3 linked regions of the Daphnia pulex genome follow. Each later gene encodes a partner of the first gene's protein in a complex. Links are inferred from orthologs where the notes say so. Each region holds a gene or a part of one and is shown in the gene's direction. Other genes may lie near its edges. The genes, in order: protein virilizer homolog, RNA-binding protein spenito-like and N6-adenosine-methyltransferase non-catalytic subunit-like.

The links.
Region 2: protein virilizer homolog (region 1) and RNA-binding protein spenito-like share a complex: the UniProt entries of both Drosophila melanogaster proteins name them as parts of the WMM complex. The link is inferred for Daphnia pulex from reciprocal best matches to the Drosophila melanogaster genes vir and nito.
Region 3: protein virilizer homolog (region 1) and N6-adenosine-methyltransferase non-catalytic subunit-like share a complex: the UniProt entries of both Drosophila melanogaster proteins name them as parts of the WMM complex. The link is inferred for Daphnia pulex from reciprocal best matches to the Drosophila melanogaster genes vir and Mettl14.

Annotation. Positions count from the first base shown.
Region 1 is NC_060020.1:7,386,130-7,390,675, reverse strand, and holds the start of protein virilizer homolog, read left to right. Parts: upstream 1-1,501; 5' UTR 1,502-1,585; coding exon 1,586-1,675; intron 1,676-1,748; coding exon 1,749-1,861; intron 1,862-1,925; coding exon 1,926-2,061; intron 2,062-2,119; coding exon 2,120-4,546. Other genes in the region: dolichol-phosphate mannosyltransferase subunit 1-like, read right to left, coding at 384-794, 859-969, 1,032-1,131, 1,199-1,299. UniProt on the Drosophila melanogaster protein: Associated component of the WMM complex, a complex that mediates N6-methyladenosine (m6A) methylation of mRNAs, a modification that plays a role in the efficiency of mRNA splicing and is required for sex determination.
Region 2 is NC_060023.1:11,551,027-11,555,385, forward strand, and holds the start of RNA-binding protein spenito-like, read left to right. Parts: upstream 1-1,485; 5' UTR 1,486-1,627; exon of another isoform or gene 1,628-1,712; 5' UTR 1,713-1,761; coding exon 1,762-4,063; intron 4,064-4,129; coding exon 4,130-4,143; 3' UTR 4,144-4,359. Other genes in the region: mitochondrial inner membrane protease ATP23 homolog, read right to left, coding at 125-361, 421-606, 678-759, 828-873, 946-1,132. UniProt on the Drosophila melanogaster protein: RNA-binding protein that acts as an associated component of the WMM complex, a complex that mediates N6-methyladenosine (m6A) methylation of mRNAs. M6a modification plays a role in the efficiency of mRNA splicing and is required for sex determination.
Region 3 is NC_060026.1:13,578,749-13,582,729, reverse strand, and holds N6-adenosine-methyltransferase non-catalytic subunit-like, read left to right. Parts: upstream 1-1,612; 5' UTR 1,613-1,742; coding exon 1,743-1,776; intron 1,777-1,835; coding exon 1,836-1,945; intron 1,946-2,013; coding exon 2,014-2,303; intron 2,304-2,363; coding exon 2,364-2,580; intron 2,581-2,640; exon of another isoform or gene 2,641-2,644; coding exon 2,645-2,854; exon of another isoform or gene 2,855-2,914; coding exon 2,915-3,087; exon of another isoform or gene 3,088-3,147; coding exon 3,148-3,394; 3' UTR 3,395-3,457; downstream 3,458-3,981. Other genes in the region: DNA topoisomerase 2-like, read right to left, coding at 54-394, 533-556; ABC transporter G family member 20-like, read right to left, coding at 3,729-3,981. UniProt on the Drosophila melanogaster protein: Non-catalytic component of the WMM complex, a complex that mediates N6-methyladenosine (m6A) methylation of mRNAs, a modification that plays a role in the efficiency of mRNA splicing and is required for sex determination.

The DNA of each region.
Region 1 (4,546 bases):
CCATTTTTTGAATTGTTGAAGATCCAAATGCACTAACTTGTTGTGGAGCGCTTACAATAAGACGCGACAGCGTCTTTTATTTATAGGAGACACGCTAGGAAACGAACTTGCAATCAGCTTATTGGGTGAAATAACCACCATAGCAGTTTATATATTTTGAAACTATTCAAGTAGTTTTAGAATTATGATAGTTCTCAATTTTACAAATGTATTTCAATAATTAGTTATTTCTATAAATGAGGGAATCTAATGAATTAGTTATATTTGTTAACCATGGTCTGTGTGTTATCTCATGGATATCATGGCTCATTCAAGAAACAACAAAAATATTTCAATAACAATTTTTAGAAGGTGTATTTTAAGTTATTGTTTGAAGAATTTTGTTAAGTAGTGGCAAACAAATACAAAAGTCCTTTGGCAAATTGGTAAATTTCATTCCCACCTAATTTTGATTCACCGTAAACCCGATCAACAAATGAAATTGGTACTTCACCAATTGTAAATCCCAATTGTCTAGCCCTTATAACCATTTCCATTTGAAAAACATACCCCTTTGATTTACAAGATTGCACCAGTTTTTCTAATACTTTTTTCTTGTACAAGCGGAAGCTACCAGTGAGGTCAGAAGCACCAGGTCTCAACAGCACTTGAGTAACATAGTTTGCACCTCTGCTAATCACTTTCCTTTTCAGGTCCCATCCATAAACTCCACCATTTCCACTGTAACGAGTTCCAGAAACCAAGTCATAGTCCTTTTCTTTTTGTTTTTCAATAAATTGGTGAATAAATTTAGGCTGCCAAGAAAATAAATGTTTTAAAATTAATGTCCCCTAAGGTTAAGTTTATAAAGATGATTACATGGTGAGATAGATCAGCATCCATGATCACAACATAATTGCCAGTAGCATGTTTGATTCCATGAATATAAGCAGTTCCAAGTCCAAGTTTCTTTTCTCGTGGCCTCAAGACCTGTGATATGACAATATTATAGCTAATTAGAAAAAAAAATACTTAGCCTAACACTACCATACAATTTTTTTATCTCCATAAATGGTTTGAAGCTGCTTTGCTACATCTAGGGTCCCATCAGGACTTCCATCATCAATTACAATAATTTCGAAATCGTATCCACTAACAAATAAAATGCATTGTTATGACCTGTAATCTTATTATGACTGCAAGCAAGTGTCAACCTTACCTGTCAGTAAAGGCTTTGACTAAGAGCCAGACAATAATTGGTAGATTGTCTTTTTCATTGTAAGTCGGAAGCAGGACACTATATTTGTCATCAGCTCCCATTTTATCGACACTTCTGAATTTGTTTTGGAAATTGACGGGACGCCTTGAAGTAATTGTGTGATTCAAACTTGTTGACGTAAGCAAGAAGCAAGGAATGTTATAAATTAAAGGTTGTTTCTCCCAGACCCATCTAGCGGATTACTGAGTTGGGGATCCCTCTAGTGGCAGTCGTATTTATATTTTCAGAAAACCATGACAGTTGCTGTTTATTAACCTTTTACGAACCCTCAAACTTTTTTCTATCCCTCAAAAATTTTACTCATGAAAGTTTTTCGGCTAGTATAAAATGTCTGTGTTAGAACAATTGATAATTGATAAAAAAATTGATAATGAGGAATTGCTCTTCTTCGATACGTTCGCACATGGTCCCACAGAGGTTTGAATCAATTCAGAAAATGTTTATTCATAAATCAATTTGGCTACAACTCAAACTTGGCGACATTTTGCAGGAATTGAATTTGGATTTGGTACAGTTTCCCAAGCCCGTGTACATAAATCAAGTGCGAGTCATACCTTTAGGCGCCAAAGTGCAAGCTGATTTCCCCGGAGGAGTGCGTTTAGGGTAGGTTACGACAGAACAAAATAAATTATAAGGATAATGTTTACATATTAACATGTATTTTCAGAGCAACGAATCCATCCCAGTTTAAGCTTGAACTATTTGTGAATGATTTGAGCAAACCTGGAGCATCTGCTTTTGAGACACTTGGTGTTCTAGATTACAATCAGAATTCTAACATTCATTACGATTCTGATAAAAAAGTAAATTGACTACTATGCATAATTAACAAACCATTTTAACCCCAAGTATATTTTACAGGTACCAACAGATGGCTTAGTTTTGAGAGGCTGGTATACCACTGTAACCCTAGCTGTTTATGGGGTTATTACACGAGCCCCAATAATCAGTATACCTCCACCACCCCCAGCAGCCCCTATCAAACCTGCTAGCCCAGTTCCAGTTGAACCAGCCCAGCCACCGGTTCCAGAATTAGCGCCAGTGTTTACAAATCAAATTATAGACGAAAAGTTACGGACTTCCACCCCTCCGTTCGAAGAAAAAGCAGAACTAATAAAGTGTGAAAATGCTTTTGTGACATCAACAGTGGTTGAATCTGAAGTAAAACGCGAGGATGAACCAGAAAAAGAAACCAAAGTGAAGGTCGAAGAAAAAGTAGTCGAGAAGGTGCGAGAGAAAAGCAGACGCAGTGATGAGTTCACACGGACGCGAGACACAAGTGACTTCCGTGAAAGAGAATGGGAATCCGATCGAACCAGCAAAGCAGATTCCGAACGTATCAATCGAAGTGATCATCGAAGCCGACACGATGTTGATCGATCCAAAAATGATTCGGATCGAATACGCCCAGATTCCGACAGATTTAAAGTTGAATCCGAACGTAGTAGAACAGATTCCGACCGTGAAAAGGCCAGAATAGAATTGGATAGAAAACGAAACGAGTCCGACCGAACTAAAAGTGAAAGGAGCGATTCAGATCGAACTAGAAGTGATCCTGAACGAACGAAGAGTGAATCGGATAGATCCAAAGGTGATGTCGGTAGGAACAGAATCGAATCAGAACGGACACGAACCGAAAAGAGCGACTCTGATAGAACCAGAAGTGATTCCGACCGAGTTAAATGTGATCCAGATCGAGTGAAAGGCGATTCAGAACGTGCCAGAACCGACGAACGAGGTAGAAACGACCGAGATCGCGAAAGACGTGGTGATAGAAGCGATCGTAAAGAGCGATCTAAGGAACGCGAACGAAGCAGTGGCGGAAGTGAACGTGATCGATCGCGAGAAAGATCCCGCGATCGCCATCGTGAAAAAGAGAGAGCAAAAGAACGAGGATCACGTGAAAGCTCGAGGCGGCCTCGGACTCCTGCAGAAGACAAGAAAATTGAAATTGCTATTGTCCTACCTGTACCGGTACCTGTACCGGTTGAAGTTCCACCTCCACCACCTCCACCACCCCCTCCGCCGCCACCTGCTTCCATAAAAAAAGATGAACCCCCTGTAGAATGCTTCTCGCCTGGTGTCGAAATGGAAGCTATATCAGACGATGACATGCCGGAAGTGGATAGTTTAGCCCCTCGCGCTGATGAAGTTGAAGAGGAAATAAACGAAGTTAATGAACCGGAATCCATTCTTCGGAAAGATGAGCCACCCGTTGAAGATGAGGTTGTCAATTCAACTGAAGTGTTAGTTGAAGCAGCCCCTGACAGCGTCGTCGAACCCGAAGAATTGGAAGAACTAGAAGAAATCCTCAGCGATGAAGACCTTATGTTTGAAGACTATAATGCCGACATGACGGATTTGGATATCAATGAATTCGGTGATCTTCTTGAAATCGGAAAGACATTTAATCCTTACGGTGTCGAACTGCAACCGCTGCAGAATTTTACAGATCCTTCAGACACCACATTACAACGAGTAAGCAAGAATGTCTCCGAACCTCGAATACCTTGCAAAGACTTAGAAGACGCTGCTTTGAGACTCCAGATGACGCTGGAGCTAACATCTCGCGGAGAAAAATGGATCGATAGCATGAATCAGTTGGCCTCTATCTTACCGAATGGTTTGGCTTACTTACACTCACAGCCGGATCTGCTCAAATCAATTCAAGATAAAGTGGTTGACTGGTTACTTCACGGCCTAGATTTCGATCATGCTCGCGAACAACCAGGTCCATCTACACATACGGTCCGTCACATCAAATGTGGTCTGAAACTCTCGCAGACGGTGGCCCAGTGCTCGCAGTCGCTTATAGAACGCTCAGTAGATTGTGGCGTCTTGACGAAAATTGCGAGCCTTTACGGTGCCCCCCACATGGCTCAGTCGCTCAAGCTAATGTGCCTGCGTAGCATTGATGCTCTGCTTTCATGGCCCTACGTCATGGAACATTGGATGAAGAATCCCGTACTGGAGTACCCAAACGGCTATGAATATTTCGTCCAGTTGTTAGAAGCGACTCAACCCTCCAGAGCTCAAGTAACAGTGACCGCACTCATCCGAAAGATACATACTTACGAAGCTCTGCAGCGGATTCATAACATCGGACAAATCCTGGCCCGTTTACCTCCAAACGGCTTTAGACGAAAAGACATTCGTCGCCCTTCAGGAATGAGCATTGAAAGTCAAGACTCGAACTCGCAGGACAGTTTTTCTACACCGAATGCCACATGTCCAAATGTTGTTGCTGAAAATCCGTTAGAGCCTCATCTCACGCAGTTACTTTCCAGT
Region 2 (4,359 bases), on another chromosome or scaffold:
ACCAGGGAACTTTTCTCGTCGTAATTCAACCAACGACCGCTAGGTGGAACTGACTTCTCTAAAATAATTGTATTTCAATGTGATATACATTCAAGATGATTGATTTCTGACTATTTTGACATGGCTATTCGTATCCGTAATTGCCTTTTTCTTCGTAGGCACGAATCATATCCGCCGAATTGCGACGAATCCGACGGCCAATCGGCTCAAGATCGTTATAACATTTGATAAAGACTTTATCTATGGCTGCTAGCGCTTCTTCTTTCGTGACGTCTGGACGGACGGCCATCACTGAGCCCAATGCTTTCATTTTGACGCATTCGGCGTGTTGTTTACGGATTCGGAAAGGCGAAGCGTCTCCCTGTAGATTAAAAAGCCATATAAAAGGTTGCTCAACGTTTTGATCACACACTTTTTTACCTGAAACATGGCCGACATGAAACTACAATGGGTCAGGTTAGCTGCTCTGATTTCCGTGCACGCCAAATGGTGGATATTTTTAAAATCAAGTTGGTGTCGACATGCGTCAAACATGTGAATCATTTCGTGTGTCAAAATTCCTTGAATTATTCCCTTGTTCCGAACTACATTCTGGCATACTACTATCTATAGACATAATCAAAAGATTATCATTATTAATTGAGAAAAAAGGACTATTTATTATCTGTAATATTTACTTGATTAAGTTTTGGATCATAGCCACCAGAAACCGAGACATCACAAACTTCACAGGCAATGTGTCTCCTCAAATCAATTTCACTATGTCAAAATGCGAGAAGATATTGCAGCATAAATGAAATTTAAAAAACCTTAATTTTATTTCATACCATCCAGATGATTTTAATGCACTGTACATTAACTTAACAAGAGGACCTAAATGAATCAAATGGAAGGATTAATTTACAACTGAATTTTGTAAGAAAACGTAAGTTCAGAGATGTTTACTGTTTTCAAAGCAATTGTAGACATTCCTTTCACATGTAGTTTTTTCTACATTGGTTTGACCAGCACCAAACAAAGCAATCTGCCACCATTTCGCACGTGCAGCTTCACCCCTTCTTTCGGGGTACAAGTCGTAACCCCAATTGTCTTCTTTGTCCACAGGTGCAGCTTCCGATGGTTTATCCGACATAATTATACACCTAGACTAGAAACATGCAATTAACACTGAATAACAATACATGCATCGTAGTAAAGTTTACGATGTCTTTACTTTTACAGGTACTTAATGAGGTTGTTTTGAATTTTTGCTGTTTTTAGTTGTCCGTGTTATTCAGCAGACGACAGACTGCCGGCTGAATGGCTTTACAGCATTGTGTGGAATTTGTTAAAATATTGATTGATATATTAAATTAAAAAACAAATCAAAATATTTCCCAATTAAAATAAAGAGTTTAATTGGAAATTCTCGATATTAAATTCTTAGGTATAAATTGCTAAAATGTAGCATTTTGCAATGCTGCCACGGAATGAAACCCCACCCCCAGAAGCTAAAATTGTCAAAGCCGAGTCCAAACTCAGAATAGAGCTCCGCCATTTTCTTCTACTTGTTCGGACGCGTTCTTTTTAAGCTCTGGTTCGGTGAGAAATACTCGTTGCATAACTGTTCGCAAGACCCACTTTATTGGTTAGTGTGTTTAGTTTTTCATCCATTCTCAAATATTGACGTGATTGTGAAAATGTCGTTGGTGATAATTCATCTTTGTTGCTAGGTTTACGTTGTTTAACATTGAATCGTTGATTGTTTGACAAGTCTTCAATATGAAACGCGTGTCCGACCGTGATGCATCGCCTTTCAGCAAACGCTCTCGTTCAAGCCTAGGCCATTATGATGAAAGCTCTGATGATGAGAGAGGTGGAGCTCCTCCTCCAAGACGTAGGCGTTCACCCAGCCCCAGTCACCGATCAAGATACCCTCTGCCTCCCGATCCACCAGTGATGAGGGAACGAGATGACTACCCACCACCAAGGTCTCGTCCACCACCCCCATCGACTGGTTACAAGACTCTCCTTGTCAGCTCAATCCATCCCAAAGCCAGTGACGAAGTTGTCAAAGACTCGCTCTACAGAGAGTTCAAAAAGTATGGTGAGGTTAGCATCAAGTTGGTGCACGGTGCTGAACCAGAAGACCGTTTGGCCTATGTTTCATTCAGAAACCCTGAAGATGCTCGTGAAGCCAGGCACAGCAAGCAGCGAATCATCTTGTATGACAAACCAGCTGTGCTCGAACCTGTTTACGAACCCTCTACCGCGCGAAGCACCAGGGCGCGTTCACGAAGTTATTCACCGTTGCCATACCGAGGCGAAGAAGAGCGTTACATTCGACCTCGTTCCCCAGATGATCGACACCGCATGTACGACGATCGTTACGATTATTCTCTGCGTGGATATGGTCCTCCACCTCCAACTGGCATGTACAGAGACTATCGTCCACCACCGTACGACTATCCTCCCCGTGGACCGTCATCTTACCGTGGTCACTCTTATTACGGCGCTGGAGGACATCCACCTGTCCCCCATTATGAAAGAAGTGAACGAGGTGGAGGTAGTCGAGGAGGTGGTGGTGGAGGCGGTGGAGCTGGCGGCGGCGGAGGTGGAGGTGGAGGAGGTCGCAATGAAGAAGGAGGCGGTGGAAGAGGAGATCGAAATCACGACCGCTACGAGAACAAGAAAGATCGTTTCCCAAATTATTTGCACCACATCCCGCCAGAAGAGGATCCATTGGCTACTCGGACTCTTTTCGCCGGTAACCTGGAGATCAACATAACAGAGGAAGAGCTGCGTCGCATCTTTGGCAATTACGGCATCGTCGAGGATGTTGACATCAAGAGACCGCCTCCAGGCACTGGCAACGCTTACGCCTTTGTTCGTTTCGAGAATTTGGACCAGGCCAATCGGTGTAAAGTCGAGCTTTCTGGCCAGTACATTGGCAAATTTCAAGTCAAGATCGGTTACGGTAAAGCCACGCCCACTACACGCATCTGGGTCGGAGGTTTGGGCTCGTGGACGTCGCTGGCACAATTGGAGCGTGAATTTGACCGTTTCGGCGCCATTAAGAAGATCGAATACAACAAAGGAGACACGTCGGCTTACATTTTGTACGAGACGATTGAGGCAGCTCAAGCAGCCGTTCAGGACATGCGAGGCTTTTGTCTGGGCGGCCCGGATCGGAAACTGAAAACTGACTTTGTTGACACCAATCCCCCGACAGCTCATCCGCCAACTGCCAAGACTAAAGGATCGTCTTCTTCCTACGATGCTGCCACCGCTAGAAGTGGAGCTGGCGACGATTATGCCGGCGAAACCAACTGGAACAATGGAGATGATCCCAATTATCGTGCGGGATCCGGTCGGACGGGTCGAGGAAACCGAAGTGGCTACGAGAAGAGGCCTAGCGGATATCGAGGATCAGGAGCCGATGGTGACGATTGGTCGGCAAACAGCAGCCGACGTCCTCCACCGGATGATTTTGACGCTGCCCGAGGAGGTTCCCGATCGCCGTCGAATGAAAGGCGAACCGACGACGGTGGAAGATTCACTGGATCCCGTACGCTGGCGGAAGTGGCTCGACGTTCTCCCAGCAATTGGACGGGCGCCTTGGTACTCAAGAATTCGTTTTTCCCCACGAAATTACACGCGACATCTGGCGAAGCGGCGATCGCCGATCTTTTGCTTCACGACGAGAAGAACCAGCCTCATTTGCGAATTACTCAGCGATTGAGGTTGGATCCGCCCAAACTGGAAGACGTTTCCCGTCGAGTTTCAGCTTCTGCGTCTCACGCCATCTTCCTCGGCCTGCCCGGATCGACAGGCGGAGCTTCCAGTCCCACTTCCGACGAGGCTGCAGGTGTCCAGAATCGTCCGCTTCGCAATCTCGTGACTTATCTCAAGCAGAAAGAAGCGGCTGGTGTCATCTCGCTGGCCAATAAGAATGCAGATGTGACTGGCGTCCTTTACGCCTTCCCTCCTTGCCCATTCGCTGCCGATCTACTCCGACGAGCAGCTCCGTCTCTGTCTGACGAGACTCTAAAGGATGATCACTTGGTGATAGTTGTAGTTAAAGGTATATTCAATCATTTCTAACTATCGTTTCATATTTTAATATCTTTCAATTGTATTATTTTGACAGGAGGAACTGCTTAAAACACAAATCAATCGACAACTGATTTACTACCATCTCTCAGACAAAGCCCGCGCACACCTTTAATCTTCTACCAACCGCTACCAAGATTTTTCACCAGCATACGAACGACATCTGGGTTTGGCCGTTTTGTTATCCCTACAAACAAAACCATAAAATAAAACTTTACCATTTTCTTGACCATTAGATGAGCTCTGTCAATCCTGACCTTTCTTTAC
Region 3 (3,981 bases), on another chromosome or scaffold:
CAGAAACCACGATTAAAAAAACTTATAACACACCAGCACATGTTTAAGCTTACGGATCAATGTCGACTTTAATGGTATCCATCTTGGAGTCTCTGACTTTGTTGTCTGCAGCATTGACGAGAATTTCATCAAAGATCTTATACAGTCCGGGTACGTAAGTAATTTCTCTCTGGATCATTCCAGCATCTTCTTCATAAACCCACATGACATCTTTAACAGGTTCCACTGATCCAATGTAGGTATCAGGCCTAAGCAAAATGTGCTCAAGCTGACTTTTCTTCTGGTAAATTCTTTCGACTGAAAGTCTCTTGTTGGCTCCATTCTTCTTGCCAGCATCTCCATTCGTGGCAGCCTCAGATGCAACAGTACCTTTGTTCATTTTTGCAAACAAAGACTAAAAAAAAAAAAAAACAATATGTTAGATCACACTTCACATCAAGAATAGTAAGACGTCACGTTTTGGATCACAAAATTTCTTTCAAAACATTCATGTTGTAACCTTGAAAGCATGTGAGTTTCATTCAACAACTACCTTTAATGGCCCATCAGAAGCCATCCTTGGCGAAAGTATAAGCTTAAAATTCGATAAAAGGGACAGAATGGCTATTTGCCTAGGAAATTATACACTATGACAACCACTATAAAAAAACGCCGTTTAAAATACTGTCGACGCGTCGAGTGAAACTGAAATTTCGAAGCGACTTTTTTCGAACCAACGGAAACGTTGAGTGAAACTACAACGTTGCCACTCGGTACCGCCAAGTCAAAAAAATTTATTTGTTTCTCATTGGTTGTTAGAGATGTCTAAAGGGGTTGGGAAACCCCTTACTGTTATACTGTTACATTACATTGGTTTTTTTGGTACAATGATTTAATTGATAAATTAACACTTGACAACACAAAACAAGCTTACCTTTTCCTGTTGACTTTAAAAAGCCAAAAAATAAGATTGTCTGCGACTCAGATGAGTACTTGTGCTTTAACAACTTTGTAAATTTGTGAAGAAAGCCGTACTACTTTGTGAATAAATAGAATCTAAAACAACGAAAAGGTGCTTTTTCGATCCTTTTCCGTGTAGAAAAACTCTCAAACCATGCTGGTTGAGCTCTAATGTAATGTCTTTGATTGTTTCGCTTCAGTTTAGAGTGAAAAGGGCGCGTTTCTCTCAAAGATTCGAGACACTGACGGTACCTCTCTGCTCACTTTTAACACAGCGTGTAAATTTTGCCCTTGGTAGATACTAAACAGCAACAATGAGGAATCCCGCTGATCGCTGATGTGCCGAAAACGAGCCGAAACATCTTTGCCGGAGCTTGCTTTTTCTGTAATATTGTGACATGCAGATATTCAAATGTATTCAGTTTGCATACTTTTTAAAATTTTAATATATTTCAACTTGCAAATGACTTTCGAAATTTTAAATTTTTGAGTTTTGAAATACCGGAGTTCGGCCATGGTTAATTCGGCCGCTGACGGTTTCAATTAATTAATCAATATTATTTTAAATCTTATTTTAACCGATAGAATTCAAATTAAGTGCTTTGATATTTCATGCTTGCAAGTATATTTTGCCCTTTTCATCAAATATCGAAACAAGACATTGATTTACAAGCGGCAACTAAGGTAAATAATAATGGCGGACTATTGAATGGTTAGGGTTTTTAAATGTTTTGATATGTTAAAGGTGTACTCCACAGTCAACATTGAGCACTGTGTCGGTATTTAAGCATTTGATATCTATAATGGCAAATTATGTGGATAATTCCAGTGTACAAGGTGAAATCAATTTAAGTGGCTGAATCAATACAATCTGTATCACTGCCTTCTCCCTTTAGCAGAGACAACTGTCACAGAAGAAGAAAACTCTCTTAATATGGATAAAGTGGACCTTCTAAAACAGAGAAGAGAATTGTCCAGAAAACGGAAACAATGTCTCGTACAGACCGTGAGTATTTATTGTGCTTTAGTTTAAAAATTCACATTTTCAATCTTAGCTTACGTTTTTTTAACCAGTTGGGAATGCAGTCAGTGGAGAAATTGAAAGAGGCATTGGGAAGTGGCACAGATAGTTCCAAAGCAGAACCAGGAATGGAATTACTTAGACCTTCAGAGAAATACATAAAAAAGAATGCTAATGCCGACGGAAGTCAACAAGACGAAGAGACAAAACTGCTTTACACTGATTCGTCAACCTTTCTAAAAGGAACACAGTCTTCCAACCCTCACAATGATTACTGCCAACATTTTGTTGATACTGGACAGAGACCCCAAAACTTTATAAGAGATGTTGGCTTGGCTGATAGGTAAATGATTGGGCAAATCTTCCCTAAAGCAATTACCTACTAAATTAACCATTTTTATAGGTTTGAAGAATATCCCAAGCTCAAGGAACTTATTCGGTTGAAAGATGAATTAATCGCCCAGACAGCTTCGCCTCCCATGTATCTGAAATCCGATTTAAAAACGTTTAATCTCAAAGACATTGGTTGTAAATTTGACGTGATCCTCATTGAACCTCCTTTGGAAGAATACCAGCGTTCTTTGGGTGTGACCAACGTCGATTTTTTGTCATGGGATCAGGTAAATATATATTGAACCACAATATAATGAATGATTGTGAATTAATGGTTCTTTTTCCGCTTAGATTATGGAACTCGACATAGGTGAAGTTGCTGCTCCTAGGAGTTTCATATTTTTGTGGTGTGGTTCCAGTGATGGACTAGACTTGGGGCGTGTGTGCTTGCGCCGATGGGGATTCCGGCGATGCGAAGACATTTGCTGGATAAAAACCAATGCAGACGCTCCGGGTCATTCGAAAAACCTCGAGCAGAAAGCCGTTTTCCAGCGAACCAAAGTAAGACCATTTCAATTTCGTCTAACCAAATGCTTTTACTGATGTACTGATTTTGAGTAGGAGCATTGTCTGATGGGAATCAAAGGAACAGTTAGGCGTTCCACGGACGGAGATTTCATCCATGCCAATGTCGATATCGATTTGATAATTACGGAAGAACCCGAGTATGGATCTCTGGAGAAACCGTCCGAAATTTTCAACATCATTGAACATTTTTGTCTTGGCAAAAGGAGGTTAGGAATTTATTTTTACGGTCACTTCATTAGAATTTTAATTAATAATTAATTTTTAAGGCTCCACTTATTCGGGCGAGACAGTACTATTCGACCGGGTTGGTTGACGGTTGGTCCAGCGTTAACAAACAGCAACTACAACGCAGAAACATACGCTGGCTACTTTAATAGTAACTGTACGACTACCGGATGCACAGAAAGGATTGAAGCTCTTCGCCCTAAATCTCCTCCACCCAAAGGCAGCAAAGGGGCAGGAGGTGGACGCGGAGGTTTTACTCGGGGCGCAGCGCGTGGCAGGGGAAGATGAAATAAGCATTACTTAATTAATTTCTAAGGCATTAAATTGCAAATAAACGTTTTGAGTTTTCAATTCTGTTTTGCAACACTTCGAAAGTTAAGATAAAATTGTGTAACGCATTTAAGGAAATGACGCGAATAGATGATTCTGTTTAAATTACAAAACAATTTGATAACTTTATTGCCATTGGTATCAGGCAAAATTAATATTGTTTGGTAGAGTTAGACAAAAAATTGACAGCTATTTGTTAATTCAGAATAGGTTAAATGAACCGTGGCATACTTGTTAATACGAATAACTTACGAATTGGAAATTTGATTCACTTATAGATGGACCGGCTGTTTTAGCTCGAAAATTTGCGGTAGCGAATAACTGTCAACGTCAATATCGTCAATCCAAATATCCATGCAAAGCTTACTAAAAATCCCATGTAGACATCAGGCATTTCAATTCCCCAACCGCGGGAAAGAATACTTCTCAAACACTCGATGCCATACGTGACCGGTAGGAAACGGGCAACCTTTTGTAATGCCGGAGGCATCCCTTCTACCGGCCAACAAATGCCTCCCATCAGTAAAATCGGGAGAAAATTGGCT